Lepisosteus oculatus: one gene and its partners. The protein of the gene in region 2 interacts with the protein of the main gene of each other region in a biochemical or structural test. Links are inferred from orthologs where the notes say so. Each region holds a gene or a part of one and is shown on either strand. Other genes may lie near its edges.

The links. The genes of interacting proteins can lie anywhere in the genome.
Region 1: the proteins of fgfr1a (region 2) and anosmin-1 form a complex in vitro, tested with the Homo sapiens proteins (3 studies listed by BioGRID and IntAct, with this or other methods). The link is inferred for Lepisosteus oculatus from reciprocal best matches to the Homo sapiens genes FGFR1 and ANOS1.
Region 3: the proteins of fgfr1a (region 2) and fibroblast growth factor 8 interact in a biophysical measurement, tested with the Homo sapiens proteins (2 studies listed by BioGRID and IntAct, with this or other methods). The link is inferred for Lepisosteus oculatus from reciprocal best matches to the Homo sapiens genes FGFR1 and FGF8.

What each region holds. Positions count from the first base shown.
Region 1 is NC_090708.1:22,445,377-22,452,203, forward strand, and holds the start of anosmin-1, read left to right. Parts: upstream 1-3,817; 5' UTR 3,818-3,891; coding exon 3,892-4,083; intron 4,084-6,827. UniProt on the Homo sapiens protein: Has a dual branch-promoting and guidance activity, which may play an important role in the patterning of mitral and tufted cell collaterals to the olfactory cortex. Chemoattractant for fetal olfactory epithelial cells.
Region 2 is NC_090697.1:72,342,215-72,350,104, forward strand, and holds the start of fgfr1a (fibroblast growth factor receptor 1-A), read right to left. Parts: upstream 3,018-7,890; 5' UTR 3,001-3,017; intron 2,974-3,000; exon of another isoform or gene 2,267-2,973; 5' UTR 2,203-2,266; intron 251-2,202; exon of another isoform or gene 193-250; intron 1-192. UniProt on the Homo sapiens protein: Tyrosine-protein kinase that acts as a cell-surface receptor for fibroblast growth factors and plays an essential role in the regulation of embryonic development, cell proliferation, differentiation and migration.
Region 3 is NC_090699.1:35,823,296-35,831,222, reverse strand, and holds the start of fibroblast growth factor 8, read right to left. Parts: upstream 3,011-7,927; 5' UTR 1,926-3,010; coding exon 1,894-1,925; intron 1,807-1,893; coding exon 1,770-1,806; intron 386-1,769; coding exon 205-385; intron 1-204. UniProt on the Homo sapiens protein: Plays an important role in the regulation of embryonic development, cell proliferation, cell differentiation and cell migration. Required for normal brain, eye, ear and limb development during embryogenesis.

The sequences.
Region 1 (6,827 bases), on a different chromosome or scaffold from region 2:
TTTAATTTTTCATAAACTGTTCTCTGTAGTAACAAAAAAATATATTTAAATCACACAGAAGGCAGAACTGGAAGACAGCAAGGAACAGTAAAATACTGTAAAAACATCCTAGTGTAAGAAAGTTAAAGCTCAGATTTCTAGCCAGCAGATGGAAAATAGTAGCTATAAAACACTTAACATAAGCTCTTTTAAAAATACTTTATTCACTTATTTCTGTGAAAGGTATGAATACCGTTGTCTGTTCTCAATATATGTTTGCTTTCCAGGATATACTTGAAAGTATTAAAGGATTTGTTTCCTTAGAAATGTCAGGACTGAGGAATCTGGCTCTCAAAATCTTTAGCTGAAGGCATTTCTGGCTTTGGAATGAAGCTTGCTGGTTAACAGGCTCTTTGTTTTTGTCCCTTCCTAGGCTACATTTAATCATACTGTGTGTGCTGGGTTTATTACATTATAATATTGCAGTTACACTGTACACAAAAGATCTGTATCAACCAAGAAAATGAAAGTAATATTTGGAGGTAGGATATATTTTACCTCATGGTAAATTATTTAGGGAGCATGCTAATTCAGAACCAATTGTCGTGAAAAAGCCAGAGATTTGAACTAAAATCGAGTTCATGTTTGCTGTTTCATTTGAGATTGTGCACTGCCTTTTCTTTACTTTTCATACCCCAAGTGACCTTTAATAATTCTTACATTTATAATGGGTATTTCTGGACAATCCTCTCAAAGCACTTTATAGGGAACGGGGACTCTCCTCTTCCACCACCAATGTATAGCACCCATCTGGATAATGTGACGGAAGCCACAGTGTGCGAGTATGCTCCCCACACACCAGTGGGGAGGAGAACAGATTAATGAAGCCAATTCAGAGCTAGGGACTGTTAGGGGGCCATGATTGGTAAAAGCCAGTGGGGTATGTTATAGTGGGGTAACATACCTACTCTTTTTGAAAAAATGCCATAGGCTTTTTAATGAGTATAGAGGACCTCAGTTTTACTCTTTATACCTTTTTACAATATAGTATCCATGTAGGATCCACACAGACTGCAGAGTGAGCACTCCCTACTGGTCCCACTAACACCTCTTCCAGCAGCAACCTTACCTTTCCCGGAACGTCTCCCATCCAGGTACGGGCCTGACCTGTGTTGGGATTGAGAAGCAAATTGACTTGAGCCACAGTTGCAGTGCAACCAATTCTGTTCCAAGAAACCTCAACCAGGAATACTACCAATATATGTCATCTACTGCTTTTTTGCATTTGTTTATTTACACGTGCTTGTTTCAAACCTGTGTAAAGATTGAGTCCGTTTTTCTTCTGTTCTTTTTCTGCTCAAGGCAATGGATCAAACACTTTGAGAGATGTCAGTAGACAGCGAGGGTTACAAGGTGCCACAGATATTCATTTAATTAATTAAAAAAAATACTTAAAGTGGGACACCCAAAAACAGAAAAAAAGTTTCAAGTTCACATTCATGCAATTGTTTTACAAGATACATGAATATGAAACGAGTACTTAGTTCTCGTTTGTTAGAATGGGTTGTAAAGATATTAAAGGCAAAATATGCTGTTTCTTTGCTCATTTTCTGCTAGACAAATTTCTTTAAGGAAATCTTTCTGAGATGCTGGAGCCACTCTGTAATAAGAAAAAAACCCACAAAGGTTGCTTACAGGGTGTCGTAAGAATACTGACTAGTTTTTTACCAAGTATAACATCTCAGGTCTGGAAGGCTAATAATCATTTCTGATAGGTTGTTCAAAGGTATACCAACAAAACACCACAGAAATGACCGCTCTCCATACCAGCTGTATGGAGAGCGATGCACTACTGCATATAGACCTCGATACACGAATGTTCCACCCCAGTATTCCAGTGGAAACAAATCACTATACAAGCCCAACATTGTCATGCATGGTTTTCAATAGATCTGCATGGGAGAAAAAAAAACACGATAACAAAAGTGTATCTATCAAACATTGCACAGATGTTTATTCACACACAACTAACAAAACTCATCTTCAATGTTGCCTGGGAGAAAATCACCACTGTTAGCAAATAAAAGAAAATCATTAATGTTATGAACTGCAGACAGGGCAAAAGAACACTGAACTGTGGACATTTTCTAATTATCTTATAATTACAGAGGACGACAGTCACATGACTCAACTAACAAGACTGAAGCAGAACTGTCATTTTTTTTCTGCACGCAGTGATAAAATCATCTGTGGGGCTGCACTTTTACTGGTTACAAAAGTACACAAAGAAATGATCAGATGTTACTAATCAGGGGAGATTTTGTGACATAAGACATATAACACCAGGTCAACTGTAAACAAAAAAATAACAAAAATAAACCAACTGATTTACAGATGTTGGAGAAACATTATATTCAATGTTAGTTCATGAAACAATCATGTGCACTGTAACCAAACAACAACATCCAGTGAGGATGCCCTATAAGGTGTATGTTTTAAACGTTTTAAAAGCGCCTTTTTATAAGGGCCTGTTGGCATGATGTAGACTGAGCTTCATAACTATGTTTCTAAACCTTAAATAACTTTATCTTAGAGGGAAAAGGATGACCCAACAGAATGTGTTACAAATGCATAGTTTAAAATGTGAAAAGATTGGTCGTTGATAATTAAAACACAATACAGTTTTAATACAGTATTTTCTAAAGAGTAAGATTTTTTTAAGAATGCAAAAATGTGGGCATCTAAATCTTTTGTTTTGAGTCTATTAAAACCTAATTTGTTTCATTGTATGTGTGTTTTTCTAATTTACAATAATCTGATAAATTGTTACTCCCCGTTGCCTTAATAACAGGTATGAAAGCTGCGCTGAACATGCACTGTATGAAAGCTGGCTGCCTTATTTGTTGCCGACCATATTCCAAAGTGAAAGAAGAACTTAATTTTGTTGTTTTATTCTGTTTTAAAGAGGTTTGGTTCGCTCAGCACTACTTGTATCACAGAAATGTACTGTTGTCTCATCAGCGTTGCCCAGAATTCTCCTTTATTGCCGAGTCGGGTTCATCGTGAAGATTGATTTCATGTGCGATTGTATTCATTCATTCAGGCTTTATATAATCCTACTGTACATGTAGTCTTCATTTTACAGCAGGGCCCGGATACAGTATACTATTTGGTTCAGTTTAATATATTGACCAGGGGTTTAATCAGACCAAGAACCTTTAATACCTTTCCGTTATTCCACATGTATCTGTTGCATGCTATAGATAGTTCTTCCATACAGATTTCGCTTTGATTTCATTTGCTTATTGGTACCTGCTGTTCGGTGAAATGCTGGTCTTTAAACAACCAGCTGTGGCTTTCGACATTCTTTACTCCTTTCATTAGTTTCGTAACCGATACAAAGTGCCAAAGATTATTTTATTAATATATTCTCCAGTACGATCTCATATGATCAAAGCCGTTATCTAGAATTTGTCTGGATACTCTTTCAGCCCCACGCTAGAACTGCAGGAACAGTGTGGTGTCCGGCCATCTGGTTTCCAACTACACAAAATGACAAAATGCTTGAGAGTTGCCAGGATATAATCTTTATGAAAGATGTTCCGCCGTGTGACGTTAAATAAAAAAAAATATTTTTAGGTAAAAAATATTAAGGCAATGGCGCAACGGAATGATGCTTTCAGACCTCAATTACATACTCATAACATTTTTCCTGTAACGTTTCAAGACTTCGTACTTACCAGCTCGACAGCTTTCCTGAACTGCCACTCACCCCAACCCCTCCAATAGGGCGCCACATGCTGTTCTGACTCCTCCTCTGTGGATTAGTGAAGTTTCTTTAGTTTCTCCAGCAGGGACATCACGCAGTTTAGCTTGATCAGAGTACACAGATAAAAGCACCTCGGTCACACAATGTTTGTAAGGAATCCCAGTGTGTATCTGACCCTGTTATTGTGGATTATAGTCTCATGGAACTGGGATAGCGTCGCTGCAAGGAAGCAGGACGAGTCCTTCTTCACTGCCAGTATTTACAGAGCAAGATGCACATCGAGATGTCTCAGCCTGCACCTCACTCGCATCTCTGCTTTTTTCAAACATTTCCAGGTAGATCACGTTTCATTAATCTTTAATGAATGCATGGTGGATACATAGTGAAATGTGATTGTTACATGTGTTATTATTCTCAGCATATTAAGTTGCCAAGTAGCTGTTCTTGCTGAGCGCGCATCAGCAGTCCCTGACGCTTGTCCGAAGGCTCGCGTTTAATTGTTGCTCTTGTTCATTATCATTCACTGAGAGCGATAAGCATCGGAGCTGAAACGTCAATGTCTGAGTTCCAAAATTCAGAAGCCCTTTATCGAACTAAGAGTGGCGAATGAGTTGTTCGACTTCTGAAGTTCCAAGACTTTAACTAAAGTTTACCGAGAGGGATCAGTGTTAATGAAGAGTTTTGGAAAGAGCTTGAATTAATGCTGTAGAAACTGAGGACTGAATCCTGCATATGCAGCAGAGTTACTGGTCCTGGCACTGCTTCTTAAGGATGCGCTTTGTGATTATCGGGGTATTCGCTATGTCCGTGAAGACTTAGCTGGTGAGTCGTAATAATTAAGTTACATGAAAGAGAATACTAATGACTGGACGCCCCTTTTTACTTTTGTTTATTAATTGTAATCTAATGCGTTTTACCTTTTAGCGCATACTATTTGAAGGCATTTTATTTAAACAACTGTTGACTTTAGACACTTTTCTAAAACAGAATGTATAAAATGCAAGACTAAAGTGATATTTAGCTGTAAATTAAAAAAAAATCCAATTGAACTGTGAATTAATAGAGTTGAAGAAATGCGCTACCGGGATTTGTCCGTCTGTAGCGGTTTTTGAGTTACTGACTCGTTAACTTCATCTCGATAAATGGCTTAATAGTAGCTTGTCCGCATGTGCTACTTTGACGCCGAGGATAAATAACTGAATAAAAAAATAAATGCGATTTCAAGATTGCTTTTAACGTGAAATCTTTTATTTATAACAATCGCCTACAGAAAAACTCCCCTGCAACCTTTTCTTCAAGGTTTGAAGGGTAGTAATATTTGTAACTCAATTTTAATGTACTGTAGCAAGTATGTATAAGTAGTTTAGGCATTTTTATTGTTACACCTAGATGAACACGGTTTTATTACAGTGCTATTTAGTGAGATGCATTAATGTGGTTATTTTTTAAATATGTCTATATCCTTTAAAAGAAACCAGTTTAAAAGTTTTAAAAAAGTGATTAACAGGTGATGTTATACGGTGTCTTTTTCATTTCCATCATAAACTAATTTGCAGGCTTGAGCAGCGCCTGACTGCGTTTGTTCGCTGCCTCCTGCGGTTTGAGGCAAAATTATGGGGTCCACAGCATCTATTATTCTTAATTGTTGCACGTAACTAGTTTTTAACATTTTAATGACTAAAACCATAAATGATCCCACTTCTGCTTATTTTTAAAGCAGTCATCCTCCATTTTCATCCCACAAACGTTTTTGTACTGGAAATTCAATGGCTATGGGTACTGGAATTCAACACCTGGTCTCTTTTTTTTTCCACGGAGAATGGCAAAGCCTACTATAGTATCGGGCACCGGGGATGTTTTTTTTTTTATTCTAAAGCACTCGGGGTGCGGTGTAGTGTCTCGAGCAGATTATTTGAGAAGGAATAGTTTTTAATCCTTTCTGGGTTGAGTACGTATGTTGTGTCAGAAGATGTTTTGCACCCTTCAGTGGACACAGTGTTCCCTCTCGGGAATTCAGCGAGAAGGATTTGTAGGAGACTTTTAGCGCTTTATTGAATGATCTGTATATGGTATACAGGCTTTCTTAAAAAAAAAAAAGATGATGTAGGAGTTTAGTAAAAAATATTCTGTTTAACTAAAAAATAAAATTTAGACACTTCTCCACGTGTTCATATTAGTCATATTAGTTAATTTAAAATTGTAATCAGGTATGACAGTGACTGATGTTTGTTTGAAATAGCTGTTTTGTTTAGTGAAATTGAAAACCAGAGTAAAAGTTGATAAAGAACATTGCAGAGATATGAAGAGAACTTCACAGAGCAATTAATTGCAAAAGGCAAAAAAGTAATTCAGTTGAATTGTGATAGCAGCCAGTGGAAAGCAAATGGTTAAACTGGAATCCATATTAATTTCCTGTCCCTCTGGATACGTTTTAGTGCTCATTTATTTAACAATTCAGCTATAGACTCTTCAATTCTGATACACTGAAAGTGTGGAAGACTGCTCCCACGCTGTCTGCTTAACTAATTGCCTTTGGTCATGTGGCCTTAGGCTCACAGCAAGTCTTGTCATTACCTTGATCGCCTTTAATATTCAATTCCCAACAAAAGCTGAATTCTAAATAAAAAGCTAAACCATATAAGAATACTCAAATGCAGTAACTTTTTTACTTGCAGAAATTGACAAGCCTTGTCGTATAAGGCTATTTATAACATTATCCAGAAAACGTTCTTGAATCTGGCCAAACACACTGGTTCTGCCAGGAATAGGAACAGTGGTTACAGGTGACACACTCTGAGTCTTGCCGAAGCATTCTGGACATAGAAGGAGAGGGCAGCTGCAAAAACAAACCCATCGTCTTTGGTGACCAAATGGTACAAGGTCACACCTCTCCAAAGCACTCAATTCCATACACCATTTCCATTTCCTCTGTTAATGCAATCTTGTATACTACACCTCATTAGTAAATTTACAACAGAGTGATCTGCCAGGTAGGGTTTTATTCTAACAAAGTAACTGACACCTGGGTATGTGCGCAATTTAAAAGAATGCATAGATCAAACATTTGTCGACAAGAAAG
Region 2 (7,890 bases):
GACCCTGTAGTAGAAAACATTTTGAAAACTGATACAGTTAGTGATTCCAATGGACATATGAACACAAATGGAAAGGACTTGAAGTTAAAATATAACATAGGCTCTCTTTTGGTAAGGTATCAGGTACATACGTGCTCAGATCATCAACACTGTAAACGTCTAGTTTTAAAAATAATAAAGGTGTCCCATTACCATGCCTGGGTTCGACCCTTTTTCGGTGCGTCATTCAGTTTCAAACCCCCGTCCCCTCCCCCACGAAATCTACTGAAAACCACCAGAAAGTTCGCCAGAAACCTGGTAAAAGACGCGCTACTTGTCACGTCAGACTCACGACGCGTTGTTATAATACCGTACAAAACAAAACAGATAAGGTCATCATTGACAGTCTTAGAGATTTCAATATCTTAACAGTAAACGCTTAAGAATTACACCTTGATACTGCTCTTACACTTAAAAGGGATCGAAATCCGTGTAATGGACCAGGCTTTGCTTGCGATTTCAACATATCATAAATTGATATGCAGTGTTTACACAACAAGGGTACATCAAGAGTGTTTTGGTCATCTGTTTGTAATACAGGCCCTGTCGGCGTTGGTCACTCATATTTAGCTCACTCGGGTCAAAGCGCCTTTTCACTGTTTTCTTCAGGGCACGTTTTGGTCATTGCCCCCTTAGAGTTACGTTAGTAAGCCCTTTTTACAACATTTCCTCCTCGTTTAATCCTTATAGAAAGAAAAAAAAACTAAGAGATAAAACATTAGTAGGTAAACAGACCCTCCGGCGATAGTTTTCAGTTTTAACAGTAGAAGCGTTACAGTGCTGACGCGCTTCTGTAAAATCCATCTTCTACTACTCGTTAAATGTGGAGGGAAACGGCCCGCTGTAATAGTCATTCGTGAGGGCTGAGGCGCTGTTAGAATTAACATACTAACAAAAATTAAATTAAATGACTTACTAGCCCAGTACTGCCTTCATAACCCCCACCCCCCACTTCTGCTAGAGCCCTGTGCCTTCAAGTGACCAAACGCAACAAGTGTTGGGACTCCTCAGGCGAGCGACTGACACCACGCTGGTCCACAAGGCAACGTGTGAAATGCCTGTGATCCGCCTGGAACAAATGGATACAAAAGCCAAAAGGCCAGGCGCTTCACTCAGCGTCACGGGGGATATCGAGAGAAACGCAGTTCTGAGATCAAGCTAGGGGAAAAAAAAAAGTTTCCAATTCAATCCCTTCTTTAGTTAACCGTCCCGCGAGCCAAAAACCTGACTGCTATTTTCCATGATTCTTTCTGGCTCTGAAACGTCTTAGGCATCCCCCTCCCTCCCCCAAAAAAGACTTTCCCGTTAAACTGGCCTTTAAAAAACTCATTCGTTGCCGGCGATACCTCGATATGCCAGATCATTTCAACGAAAGTTAAACACGGCACAATGAACCCCCTGCTCGCAATAAAAATTAAACGGGTTGTCCAAACGCGCTTAGTCGACACTCGTTTTGAACCAAATGAGTTCCAATTCCCAGTATTTTGTCTTCCGTACCAACAAATCGCGATGTATCACTAGAACGTAACAGCGTTTGGTTTTTAAATTGCATTTACTTTAGACAAGGCTATTGACGGGCATTCGTTTTTCGAATTTAACGTGTTAAGTATCTCTCACCTCAGGGAATACCAACAGTCCGGTCACCCGCTAACACTTTTCCTGTGTTAACCAAGATTAATTCTTAGGCTGGATGTCATGACTGCATTTCTTTTACGGGTTTAACTAAATAGGTACTGTGGAGTCCAGAATTTCTTTCTAAAACCATTTATACCACTTAAATAAGCAGTGCACGTTCTGTTTCATTACGCGTTCTACATCTGGCATTGATGGACATTAGCCAAAACACAAGAACTCTTTTTTTTCCAAGAATATTAGCTTCAGGCTACAAAGCATACGAAAACCACTGAGACTCAAAAAATTCCGTGCATCTTACGGGAATATTTACGAAACACATTATATTCGCACTATTTCTTAAAACGTGTGAAACTGCAGAATTACATAAAAATCATATGTTGGACCGGGGCAGAAATATCCTTTGTATTTTGAGTTTGTGTTTAAAAATTGCTCATAAAATTATGAAAACTTACGGATTTTGACAAATTCTTGACATCAGAATTAGAATTAGATATTTTCTCACTCAGTTATAGTTCCAAAAATAATTACCTTTTTTGCCAAGTAGTTCCAAGACGATGCGCCGCCGGGATTCTCACGGAGAAGAAACTGAATCCTTATAAGACGTTAGAAAGTTTGCATTATTGTAGATCCAGTACCAAACAACTGGCTTGGTATGTACCAAAAAAAGCAAATGCCTTCCGCAAAGTTAATTAGCAAATACCGGGGAAGGAGAACCAGACGAATCGACAAGTAGCTTTCTTCTCCTGAAAATCAGAGCTCAGATCATAGGTTAAAAAAAAACTTCTTGAGATTAGATCACAGCAAAGCCGCGGAACAGCCAAACTACGAGTTTCTGTTAACAGGAGAAAATATCGTATTTCCCCCCTATAAATCAGCTGGTAAATACGCAAAGTTTGGAGAGGGAAAAGTAATCTTCGCAGAAGCTCATGAAACGCCGTGCACCTTTTTTTGTGGTGATAACGTGAAGGAGAAAAAAAACTGCGCTCCACTTCTTTATTGTTTGAAAGAAGCCAGATTCCCACAAAGATAACCGTCTTCCAGATAACTTTTTAAGACAGCGTCTGAGATAGGCTCCTATCAGCTCCTGAGCTACTCAGGCTGAAAGTCAAATGAATTTTGATACATAAAAGCTTGATGATTCAGCCCCGTGTCTAAATACGCTGTATCTCCTTATTTCGTTCGCTCCTCCGAACTCATTCACATCGCAGATTGTCTGCGACCTCCCCCCTACTGTTCAAACGCTCCAGAAACAACAAGAGCCGAACTAATGGAAACCTGCCCCCTACCATCATACGGAGAATACATAATCACATCGACTGAGCTAACCTGCCTCCGAGCCATCCTCCAACACCTCCATGCCCAAGTGAGACTCAACCCCCTCTGCTTGGCATTCTGGGATATGTAGTTTTTAGCGGAAAAGTAAACCAACATGTCAATACTGCCGAACTATTCGGCATATACACTCAGTATATGACCCAAACCCTGCGCATGGTGATTCGTTCAGCGACGAACTGCGAAGTATCCACGTTTTTCGTTTCTATAATACTTTTCTCACGTCCATAATATGAAGAAGTAGGCTCACAAATGTTGTTTACATCTTAATTATAGTGAGTTTTGTTACCTGTGTTCTCACAGACCTCTGTAATTTAGATTGAAGTTATCTTCTTGATTTTTCTTCTTATCACATGTCCAGCTAGATGTATGAACACGGGGGAAATACGCAAACCCCACACAGACAGTACCGCACGTCTGGAAATGAACCCAGGGCCCCAGCGGGGAAATGCAGCTATGCTAACCCACTGCGCCACCGTGGAGTTTGTTTGAAATGTCATTAATAATCTTAAATATTATAGAAACTAACTTATCGGATGTGGTTGTATGAAACTGCTCTTCGTGAAATACAGTACTGTAATGCTGATACAGACAGCATAATCTCGTGCATCTTGACATCAAAGGAATTAGACTGCATTTTAAGTATTGTATAAAAAGACGTTCTATAAAAGATTGACCATTTTTTATCAACATCTCTCTGAAAATGTTGTTCTATTTGGCATTGCTGAAGCTCCACCCTTTTCAAAAATGTGTATGAATGTAGTTAAAAATGTAGTTAAAGCAACATAAGGGTCAAATACGGGATGGCAACGCCACCGTGTTAAATATACAGAGGGTAAGGAACTGTATATATTCTTACTAAAAATTGTATGTACTTTCTCACTGAATATGGTATGTTCTGTCACTAAAAACTACTTCGGCGCAACAACAGAATAATAGAACAGAATAAAACTCCATTCATACTTTTGTGTTAAAACCAGAAACGTCTTAAAAAAGCAGCTGAGCATCGGTCGGTTTTGCAAACAACACAGCTGAGGCCGAGGGCGACAGGTTCAACGAATTTGTTGATCGAAACTTAATTTACTTGATAACTTGATTAAACAAAAACCGTTACAGGAAGCCAGTTCCGTTCAGTAACCCAGGCTACTCAGATAAAATTAGCATTATATGAAACAAGGTTGAATGAACACATTCATTTCGTATTATTCGAATCTTACAATCATGTCAGGCATCTCGGGTGCCTAATCTTTGATGAACCACAAAGATAAACATATCAAGTATGCTATATTTATACCACCTGACGATGTTTAATAATTATAATACCACCCGGCGATGTTTAATAATTGTATTAACAGAGGTTAACCTTTTTTCAGTTATTAACCACGCTAAACGGCTCCGTAATAGTTTGTGTCAGTGGCTCTGTTTAATTACTTGCCTCATCGAGTTCATTATTTTTAAACGGTCCAAGGCTGTTTTGCACAGTTTACAAGAGGTCGACTGCAACAGTCGTACATCAAGATGAGATGATGCACACGTACAATTCAATTCAATTTAATATACATTGACTCTTAGCGATACCAGGCCTATGTATAAGTAAAATTTTCACTTTGAAAATTCAGACCAAGTCTAAAGTACAGATAAAAAAAGCCTAAACTGGGGTTTACATTTAGATAAGAACCTTAATCTGTGGATTAAGTTTTTTAACCCGTTCCCTTCGATCGTGCTAGCATTGCTATTATGAAGCACCATACCTCTGTGGTATACGTTGTATTTGACGTGAATTTCTTCTCCGTTTCGAACAGGTAGTGGCACGCATTGTCCGCATGCTTTAAAGTATTTATTATAAATTGAAACGTGAAACTCCAGACACTACCACATGCCTTTTAAAATATGACTAAATCCAGATAATAACCCCAAATGCAGTCTTCCTGTGCTCTCAATACGTTTTGATGTATGTGCGCCTCTGCCAGATGTTTTATTAGAGTGACTGATACTAGACAGGACTCGTTTTACAGACCTTCATCACAGCCAGATGTAGCCAAGTTATTTTATCCTTCAAGAGCACTTATATATTTAAACATATCTTTTATATTGAAGGATATATTATGTGTGTAATTCTATAATTTAAATATTTTTATGACGTTATATATAGCATATTTTAAAGTCACACCTATATAATAGGAAAATTACAGTTTTATTACGCATGGTAAAATTATTTCTCATTAAGCGTATTATACTGTGCATAAAATATACTAAATAAAATAATCAACAAAAGAGTGTCAAGGAGAGGAATGTCACCAAACTGCAGGATGAAATACTGTACATGTGAAGGGGAAAGAGGTTGCATAAGAAAGGACAGCAAATTCTTTTTTTTTTTTGCTTATTAGAAGTTGGAAACTATCCTGAGCTATAAACTATCCTGGCCTTAAGTAGTTCAATTAGTTCACACCTATAATAGAGTCCAGAGCCAAAAAGTTGTCTTTCTTTTCTTCTCTTTTCAGCATGTATGAACCTCTACTTCTTCCTTATAAACTATCCTGCTCACCTAAGAAGAAGAAGGCATTTAAACCATCCATTATTCTTCCTTTTATTTATAAAGTGGCTTTCAAGACATTAAAACAAGAACATACACAATAATCTGACTGTAGTGCAATCAGATATAGATATAGATATAGATATAGATAGATATAGATATAGATATAGATATAGATATAGATATAGATATAGATATAGATGGAGCTGCAACAGAAAAGGCACGGTCACCAATAGTGAGAGATTTAGTCCTGAGTACAGTGAGCAAAGGACCAGCCTCAACAGACCAAAGCCTACAGGAGTGTAAACATGGAGGAGCTCAGAGATGTAAGATGGTGCCAGATTGTTTAAAGCCTTCAAAGTTAGAAGATCTCATATTTAATACATCATTTTAAAGGCGACCAATGTAGAGATTTAAGTGTAGGAGTGATATGCTGCCGAGATCTGGTGTGACTTAGAGGTCTAGCTGCAGAGTTTTGGGCTTATTGGAGCTCACTGAGAAGAGTGTTAGGGAGCCCATAGAGTAAACAGTGGCAGAAATCAAGCCTCGATGGTATAAATGCATGAATCGGGCCCTCAGCAATCGGACACTGATAGAAATGATCTAATGCAGGCAATATTGCTTAGGTGAAAATATTAGTCTAATTTTTCACGTGCGGAGCCAAAGTCAGGAGAGGCCCAAGTGCGACTCCCAGTTTCCAGAGTAAGGCTGATGCCTGAACGGATAAGCTGTCCGTGATAACTGTGAAGCTCTCCAGGAGGCATTAACTGCCCCCCAGTAAAAGTTCTGTTTTGTCACTATTTAGCTTCAGGGAATTTGATGTCAACAGAGCTTGACGTCACCGTCACCCAGACAAGAGATACGTGAGGTCTGTGCGCAGTTCAGGATAGGGTGGGATTAATGAGTCTGGGCTCCCCCGGCTCTTGGCAAACATAACGACGGACAGGTTAGCGGACGCTGCCAGCGAGGGATGCAGTTGTCCTCCAACCAGCAGTGACCTTTGGGTGCCTGTGACGTGGTAAAGACAGGGGACTCAACGGCGAGCTGTGTGGAGGAGTCTGACTGCGCCCCCTCATTCTTACAAGCGTGCAGTGTCAGAGGTCGTAGTCACGAGTCCAGACGTGAAAAACACACAACTGGAGATTCTAAAATTGATAAATATAATAATAAAAAATAACTAGCAATTTAAAAAGTTAGGTAAAAAAAGAATATGGAATCTTCAGGGACCAGTCACTGTGCAAAGAAAGAAATGCTGTTTACAAATGTCAGCACACATTTCTGCAATCTACCACAGTTACATTATAAATATTACTAATATAAAAACATAAGTAATAAAGCCCTCTTTGACTGGTTCATAGTTCTACATGCACTGCTTTGTAATTTAAGGCAGAAAATCCAAATATTAATTGAAAATCGTTAAAAAAACACCAGAAAACACTTTCCAAAGAAAATTTATAACACATAAAGTACTAATGGAATACATTTCTAAGGCACGTTTAACACTTCATTTACACACAAATTGCATTTAGTTTCCTCTGGTGTGGGGGCAGCTGTTCAGAGCCCAGAGAACTATGAGTAGTTTGTAGGTCTGCAAAAATAAATCAACAGGGACCAGTAAACCATCTTGAAAAACATGAACATGTTACAAGCTTCTCATCTGAAGAAGAAATTATTTCTAGCCACATATACATTTCCTTCAAAGAATAGAAGTATTTGCTTACAGCCATTTTCCGAAACGCCAAAAAAGCTTAAATAAATGTCTTTAATTGTCCATTGCCATCTGCCCTGTTGCCCTGGAAAGCAGACAGAATGTTCTGAATGGGTCCCATTGACTTACTAAAGAGGGCTTATCAGCAAATACTGCAGCAAATAGAGGTAGCAATGAGGTGTGAAACAGCCCAAGGCTGGCTAATGAGCAGCATGAGAGAGAGAGGTGGGGAAGGCACTGGGGGTGATGGTCATCCAGACTTTCCTCTGTATACGGTCCGGAGGTAACAGAAGAATGTTGCAGATGGCACACCCCTGCCTGGTGCCCTGAGTGTTTAATGACATCTTTTTATTCGCCAGTGCGTCAGTGAAGCTCTAATGGAGTTATTGCCTGTTGTGGACCCCCTGAGCAAGTGTTTTTACCTGGCTAGATGCTGGAACTGCTTGATTTGTTAACACAGTACAGGGAACTTAGAGGGGCATGGGGCACTACTAAAAGACTGCGGAGGGGACTGGCTGGCCTGGAGGCCAGGGGGCATCTAACATGTTGGAAGCTCTCTCAGACAGTAAAGTTTGGATGCAGCTCTCTCTAATAATACTGCATACTTAAAGGGAGACTGGAAACTCAGTTTTTCCTGTTCTTT
Region 3 (7,927 bases), on a different chromosome or scaffold from region 2:
CTTAGACAAAACAGATGTACTTTCCAGCGGCTCATGTTATTAAAACACGCGCTGTGTTCACAACCACATTTGATGAAGCTGAATCAATTAGCCTCTATTGCTTCACCTATGGCAAGTTTCAGTCATAAATGTTTGAGAGTGATCTCTGGGTGGCCCTTCCCCCGTGCAGGGTCATTTGTGTATTTGAAATACCAGAGGTCTTACCGTGTGCGTCGCCGTCCTCTGCCATGGCATTGATTTTCTTGTTCCCCAGAACTTGCACGTGCTTGCCACTCGTCCGGCTGTACAGCTGGTAGGTCCGAATTAGCCTACGGCTCACCCGGTCAGTCACCTTACTTTGTTCACTCACATGCTGTGTAAAATTAGGCGAGGACTGAATGGTTACCTTTAAGAAATTAAGAAAAGAAATATACAACATACCTTTACATATCTCTTGAAGAATATCTGAACCACCCCCCCCCCCCCAAAAAAAAAAATAACTATATACAATGATATGTATATTTTCTTCAACTATAAGTGTAAGGATTTAAGCAAATTGACTCTTATTCTTAAAAGAGATTGCCCTTAAATACATGCGTACCCTACATAATGACCTAAATCTTAGAATTAAAGTACATTTAATATAAAAACAGTTCAAAGACAAAAGACAGGACATTGTATATGGATTGTCTTGTGGAAAACTTTTATAGGAAACAGAAAATCACTGTAACCGAGATTGTATTGTCCGGAAATATGAAATAGGAATTTATACTAGCAGTCCGTGTGCAGGATACCTCGGTTTGTCTCAGAAGATTAGCACCGTATATACGGCTGATCTTTAAACCTGTTACAAGAACAGTGTACTTTGCATGGATTTTGAGCAAATGTTCAAGGGTGATTCTCTTTTCACGTCAACTCGAGGAATAGAGAAGATATCAAGCTGGACTCCCAATAACCCATGTCAAATTGAGAGGTCTGCTTTAAAGAAACAACGGGGACTGGTGAATGAAAACTGGCCTTAATAGTCCCCCCTTGACCTTCTCCACAAACCTACTCTTGGCACATTTATTTCTGCCCTAGCTTCTCCTTTAAGACGAGGGGCAATATGGTTAGAGAAATGCCTGCCAGCTTGTGACGAGTACAGCATGTGGCGAGACCGCTGTCCTCACTCAGTAGGATCTCCATCTGATATATTGTTATCCTACCAATAAAATTATCTTACACCCTCTTCTCTTTCTACCTGTGCCGTATTTTTTAACGATCCTCTGTCAATTTTTCAGCCATACGCCAGTCCCATCTGTTTTAGCAATCGCATTTTTTCTCCTAGTTATACGGGTTTTCAAGATGTGTGTGCAGACATATATATATATAGGCACACACATTCACGTCATTAATATTCTAGAATAACAGTGCACTTCCTTAAACATATATATTTACTCCAATATTTATTACTATTTTCGTTGAGAATCACCTGACGTCTTAGAAACATGTTTCACTGTACATATCGTGAAAAGCGATATGCTGATAATTCACTGATGTCATTATGACAATTTAATACAAATGCCATATTTACGCCCTCCACGGATGACAGCTCTGATACCAAAGTATATTGTGTATTCAGACATATACTCTGACAAAGTTAATGAAACGTTTCAAGTGATTTATAGTCAAACGTAAATAATATATTGACTTTTACTTTATCTTAATTCCAACCGTTTCATCTGAACAAAGTCAATCCATATACAATATTCTAAAACATAATTAAAAAGCAGAGTCTGGTAGGGACATACCTGAGCATGGAAGCATAAAGCGAGGAGGTGAAGTATCCTGGAAGAGAAGAAAAGAAGATAGCTGAATACTTAAAACATTTCAGAAACATTATAAACAAATCAAGGATAAAGCAAATGTACTTACAGGTAGCTTAATCTTGAAGGTATGATCCTCATTTTGAAGTTGCTTTGAAATAGTAGAAACAAATGAATGGCCTGATTGTCCTTGAAGATTATTTAAAATATGACAAATTTGCCCCCTTCTGCAATTGAAATAGTTCAAGAATCCCTCAGTACCTTTGCAGGAGATAGCGGTTCTTATCTGACAAACAACTGAAGGGAGATACTGTTCAGCCCAGTGGCAACTGTCGTAGTATTTTTATTTCTTCTTAATCCTTGCGTTAGAATAAGGTGAAATATTATAATTTTCAGCAACCCACAAAAAACGAACAATTGAGAAGATAAGAGTGACAGGAAAAAAAGAAAATATCTATCAAATCAATGTCTTTGAAGACAGCGGAGAAATAATCCGTTTTAAGACAAGGATCATCCAATGTTATACTCTCTCCCCCCTAACAGGTTTAATTCATTGACAGAATGGGACGTTGATTGTTCATAAAAGCGTCAAAGTCAATTTATATCAATAATTTAAAATTATATATAAATAAAAAACGTGGACAACGTGTATCCACCAGAAGCACCTTTCAGAGCTGGACGAAACGCTTGATGCCGAAAATGCAGAGAAGAGCGTAGAAAAGAAATAAATACGCATATATAAAAACCTCCAATGTATTTCCCCAGAGTTAGTTGCAGTAAGTACTGTATTTTACGTGTCACGACCACACTGAAAAAAAATCTTTCCCAGAGAAAAATCCTTGGCGAGGCGTTTCTGTTTGGTGAATCACTTCTTTTTCTACTGTCCTGATAAATTTGTTAGGATCCTGTAGTGATTTTCCTTGAAGTCGGTCAGTAGTGGCAGTTTTCGCAATCCCGTTTGGTAATAGTAGCCCTGGGTGATGTTGCTTCTGTGAGCAGCAGTGTTTGACTGAGTCCTTATCCAGTCCCTATCCCCTCCTCTACTCCCATTCCAGTCTCCAATGTCAACCCCCTGTTCACGCCTGCACCCCTGATTAAAATGGTAGGAAGATCCTCCGTACCAGCCTCCTTTTCTTTCGCTCTAGAACAATAGCTGCCCCCAATCAAAATATACCTTCACCTGGACAAAAGCGAACACTTCAGTGAAAACGGGAGGAGCTATAACATATCCAAAATAAAAAAAACGCATGTAGGTAAAACGAAAAAATACAAAGGTCAATGCTTTCAAATGAAACCTGAAAAGATACACTTTTTTGTGAGTGTGACAGAGGGATTAGATGGACGTTCGCTAGATAAAATAACATATTTTACGACGGCGATACATTTGACTATAAGCCTAAATAATGGAAAATCTTCCAAACGGGAGTAAAAAAATGTAGCCTAATTTGAAAACTTTGGGAAAAAAAGGCACGTTTCGAGCCTTATCTTATATGGCTGACTTTAAAACTTGACAAGCGTAAGCTATTTTGTTTGAAGTATCAAAAAAGAAAAGTACATGTAATTATGAAGTTCTGATGATTTTTAAAAGAAAATAATGATGCCCAGTTGATGCAGAAACACTTTGATAAAGCCGACTTGTGTATTGGGGTGACGTTACCAAAGAAATGTGTGAGACGTATTAAAGGGATTACAAACGTTACAGCTTTAAAAAACAACAACACTCACGCCTCCCCAGGAATATCACATTCTCAACTATTTAAATTGCCCTGTTCTCGCCTCGTCTTTTCACATTTTCTAAGACGCTTGCTGGAGCTCCAAAATGATACGAGAAACGCAGAACAATCCAAGGAGAACGGTTATTAAAAACACATTAAGGGGAAAAGGACCCAATTCTAAATCCCCAATTATATAAAGTTTCCATCCAGTGTAATCTAGTGTCTTTGACACTAGTACTCTCACACTTCGTAATCAGGACTTAATTCCATACCACTCACTATTGATAAGGCTAATCCAAATTTGTAGCTTGTCTATATCTATAGGACAGGCAAAGAGTAGAAAAGAAGCTTTGTCGTTCAATAACTCGATAGCGTTCATATGCTTCACGTCAAGGAAAATGAAACGCTGTATGAGGGCCAAGGGTAAATTAAGATACATTATGCAACTTTCTAATTTTTTTCATTGAGAGACTTTATATTTTCAAGAAAAACGACATTAACTTTAAACTACCATTTTATTAAGGAAAGTTATCATTGCTTCTTAAATGATGGCTCAGGTCATGATGAATGTATCCATGATTGTTGTTTTTTTTTTAATACTGCAAGCCAACCCAGACGGTTTTGTTTAATAACTCCTCTAGCTAAATGACGGGCTGCAAAGTTGATTTAATCAGAGCGATGTGGCTTTTAACGGCCTTTTTTACCCTCGTTAATATCTATTATTCTCGTAAAACCAGAAGCCAATAGTATTGTAGCCTTACCAAAACAACGATTAAGCCGATTAAATTTAAATGCATTTATTAAGAATACTTATACCGCAATAGTTATATGAATTTCTGAGGGGTTGTTCCCATTTTTGCAACTTTTTTTCAAAAATGAGAAATTATATCTTGCATAAGAATTCAGCACAGCTGAACTTCCATCATTAAGTATGCTCAAATGTTTTTTTGAATCCACGAGCTTTACAATTAAAGCAGCACCATATATACATTTTGCTGTTTTAAACAAGGATCTTCAAACCTTACACTTACCAGAGGATTTATGAGTAATATTATATTCTTTTGAAAAAAAATCCTATATAAACAATATTTTCAAAGTTAGATTTGCCACGTTCAGTGTGATATGTTGTATGTAGCGAATTTCGTTCTATTCTACTGTGTGAACACAGGTAATAATTTCTAGCTTCCTTAAATTGAAAAGGCTGAACCCGCGCGGACCAACTTCGGAGAACAAAACACCACTACCTTTCATACAGACCTGAGAACCGGCCAGTTCGTCTTTTTAAGATCCTATTCTCCTAGACTCTTGTGCCTAGCTGATTGGCAGGGATGAAGTTTACTGTAAACCTGCGATGTGAAGCTCCTGCTTCGTTCGCTGCTGTCCATCTTTTCTTTATCTTATCAAAGCCTATAATTGCCATTAACATTTTGTTTCCTAAATGAGAAGAGCTATCTTTTCACCGACTGAAAAAAAGTAACGAACGCCTGTCAATTTAGCGCAACCCTATAAGGTCCACAAAAGTAATTTTTGACCCCCAAAGCGACTAAAGCTGGCACTGTTCAGCACCCATTAAATGTCCTTCAGGACGGAGTGTTCAAATTGAAAGACATCGGTTAGTCTACTTTTGACTGATCGCTGGTAATCAATTATACCAAAGACTGCAATGCCCGAGATGCAAATTGCTCTTTGCAGGTACTCGAGTTAATTAAACACCTATTTGCAAAGAAAGACAAACATGCAGGTACCATCTCTTCTCGTCTTTGTAAAGAAAGGCTGGACACTGGGACTCCCAGTTTCGTTCTCTCGCACAGAATACAGGGCTTGTATCTTTATTATCTGGCATTGCGGAGTTACTTGTGACTGTTGCTGATTTCAGCTGTTCAGCTGGTTATGCGAACACATGAAAAGCGCAAATACATCTAGCGTTGTAGCGCGTGAATGACGGTATGAGAGGGATCATAAAATTAAAATTTCTACATACCCCCGGGAGACGAAAACGCAAAGAGCTCCGCTAAGTTTAATTACAATTATTTTAAGAAATCTAAACTCTTATCAGCTCTGAAACAGATGTGCAACTCCCCACCAACACAAATAAAAAATATAAGTTTGATATTTTACTTTCACTATTATCTCCAAGAGTAATGAATACAAACCAATGAAAGCAATTCTAAAGCCTTGTTTTAATACTGCACATCATTTTGATTCTAGCTTCCCCCTCCCCCGATACCGTTTTATAAAAAAACATGACTGAAAATACAGTTTATAAATTGTTTTGAAGAACCTTATTTTACAAATCATACAAATTGCGCGTCTTTACTCTCTGGGACAGAAAAGGCAATTACAGCAAATTCAACAACGCCATAGGCTCCCCTTTTTAAATGTCTTTACGGTCATTTTAAAACAAAAAAATAATACTGCTAATAAATTGCAACGCTATATTCTTTCCATGGATTAAAAAACAAACAAATCTTGGGCGATGTGTGTAATGCTGAAAGCTGGCTCTTGAGCTCAACTCTAGATCTGCAAAGCATGTAATGTAGAAGTAATTAAATTAACCTTTAGATCACGCGTACTTTGTTAACCTAGCTGCTGCTCCGCCCCTAGGCCGCTAACTAACCTAAATGTGGCTTGAAATTATTTGGATAACTAACAGATGTGCATTTAACATAGCACAATAACACAATACAAATTAAAAAGTAGCTTTGTACAAATACACTTATGCAGTAAGACGTTTACTTCTTGCCAAATTTAATGTTTGTTCTAATTAAGATATTGATATGTACAGGATACATTATTATATTTTTAATTGACAAACATACGGAATTTTTATATTTTTTAACCTTCTGAATGCGAAAAGCAGAGAATACATTGACAATAGTACGTCTTCACTTTTGTTTACAAATTTATCATGATAATTGATTAGAAATGTAAAAAAAATGGGATGTGAACAAAACAGCAATGATAATGCAGTGAAGGGAAGTTGCTTAGTCATCAGAATTCCTTTAAGTAAACGAGGCACTCGTGAGAAACGCAGTAATAAAGATTGTCCGCCAGAGGGCAGAAGTAATCCCTATTGCGTAAACGTTTAGATAATATCCGATAAGCGGTAACTCGTCAATTAAAATGATTTTGCTTCAGTTATGGATGAGTGCTAGTTTTGCAGTCTGAGATATCAAACGCGTTAGACCAATATATATATATATTTTAAAACAAAACATCACAAAAGACACCATGGCCCCGCGTCAGGAAAAGCAGATTAAGAATGGATGCATAGATCAGAAAAACAAATGCACTCCCGACGCCTTTTTAATAAGTAGTTCATAGATACGTAGTGCCTTTACCTTTCTCTATAAAAACGGGTGGGTGGCCCACATCACACAATGTTGACTGCTACCACATTCGATGGGAGGAGTGTTAGGGCCGTGACAGGGCCTTGTTCTTTTGATTTTATGACAGTAGTGAGAGGTAAAAAGGGTGTATGTAGGGGAGGGGGATTTGCCAGTCACTTGGGAAGTCCTGAAAGCATTCCCTGAAATCAAACAAGACTCGAGGCCTACACATTGGCCTCTTCTTCCTCTTTCAAGAATTGCTTTCTTTTAAAGCCCCAGTTTTGTTTTTTTGATGTGTACGGTTTTTTTTCTCTCTCTCTCTCTCTTGAAGTGGCCCGATATTAATGGCCCATTCAAAAGTCAACACTCATGCTCCATGGCTGAGCACTTCTGCATAGCCTGAGGCCGGGCCGGGCTCCCCATTAACCCCAAAAGCAGCCGCTCTGCTGCTCCATGGCTAACCTGTCCAGGATGACTAACATGGGAAATGGGTTTTCTTTTCGACCCACAGCACATAAAGCACTCAAAGGTGGGTGTGCGGGGGGGTGGGGGTGGGCTCCTGAGGTAGAGACTTTCACACACAACGAACAGAAGCAAACACTAGCAATTCTCAGCGCAAATAAGCCCTAATAAAGATTTCCCACCCTCACGATATGTCAGTGCTAATCGCAGACTGCACAGAAACTGAGCCTATCATGAAGAGATGCTCGATTGAATCACAATTGATTCAGCTCCATGACAGTGAATGCTCTGGAAAAAAAAACCCAGCTCCTTAACATCTTTGTCTAAAGCGTTTCACTCATTTTATTTTGGTTAAAAGCTAATCTGAAAGGAGAATAAAAACTCGGCAACAGTTCCTATGTACAGTCTGGGATATTCCTGTGGACCTCTTCGGTAACCATTAAAACCCCTCTGCCCCAGCGCCCACATCGGCTGGTTCAAGAACTTTCTGATTTCAGACATCATTAAGATCAAATGGGCTGTTAAAGTGCGAATGGTTTCACAATCAGGCGTGTTCTGTCAGAACTCTTAAAAAACAAGTTAGAGTTTGCTGTCGGACCGAAAACCAAAAGCCGGTAACAAAAATAATTGCTGCAGG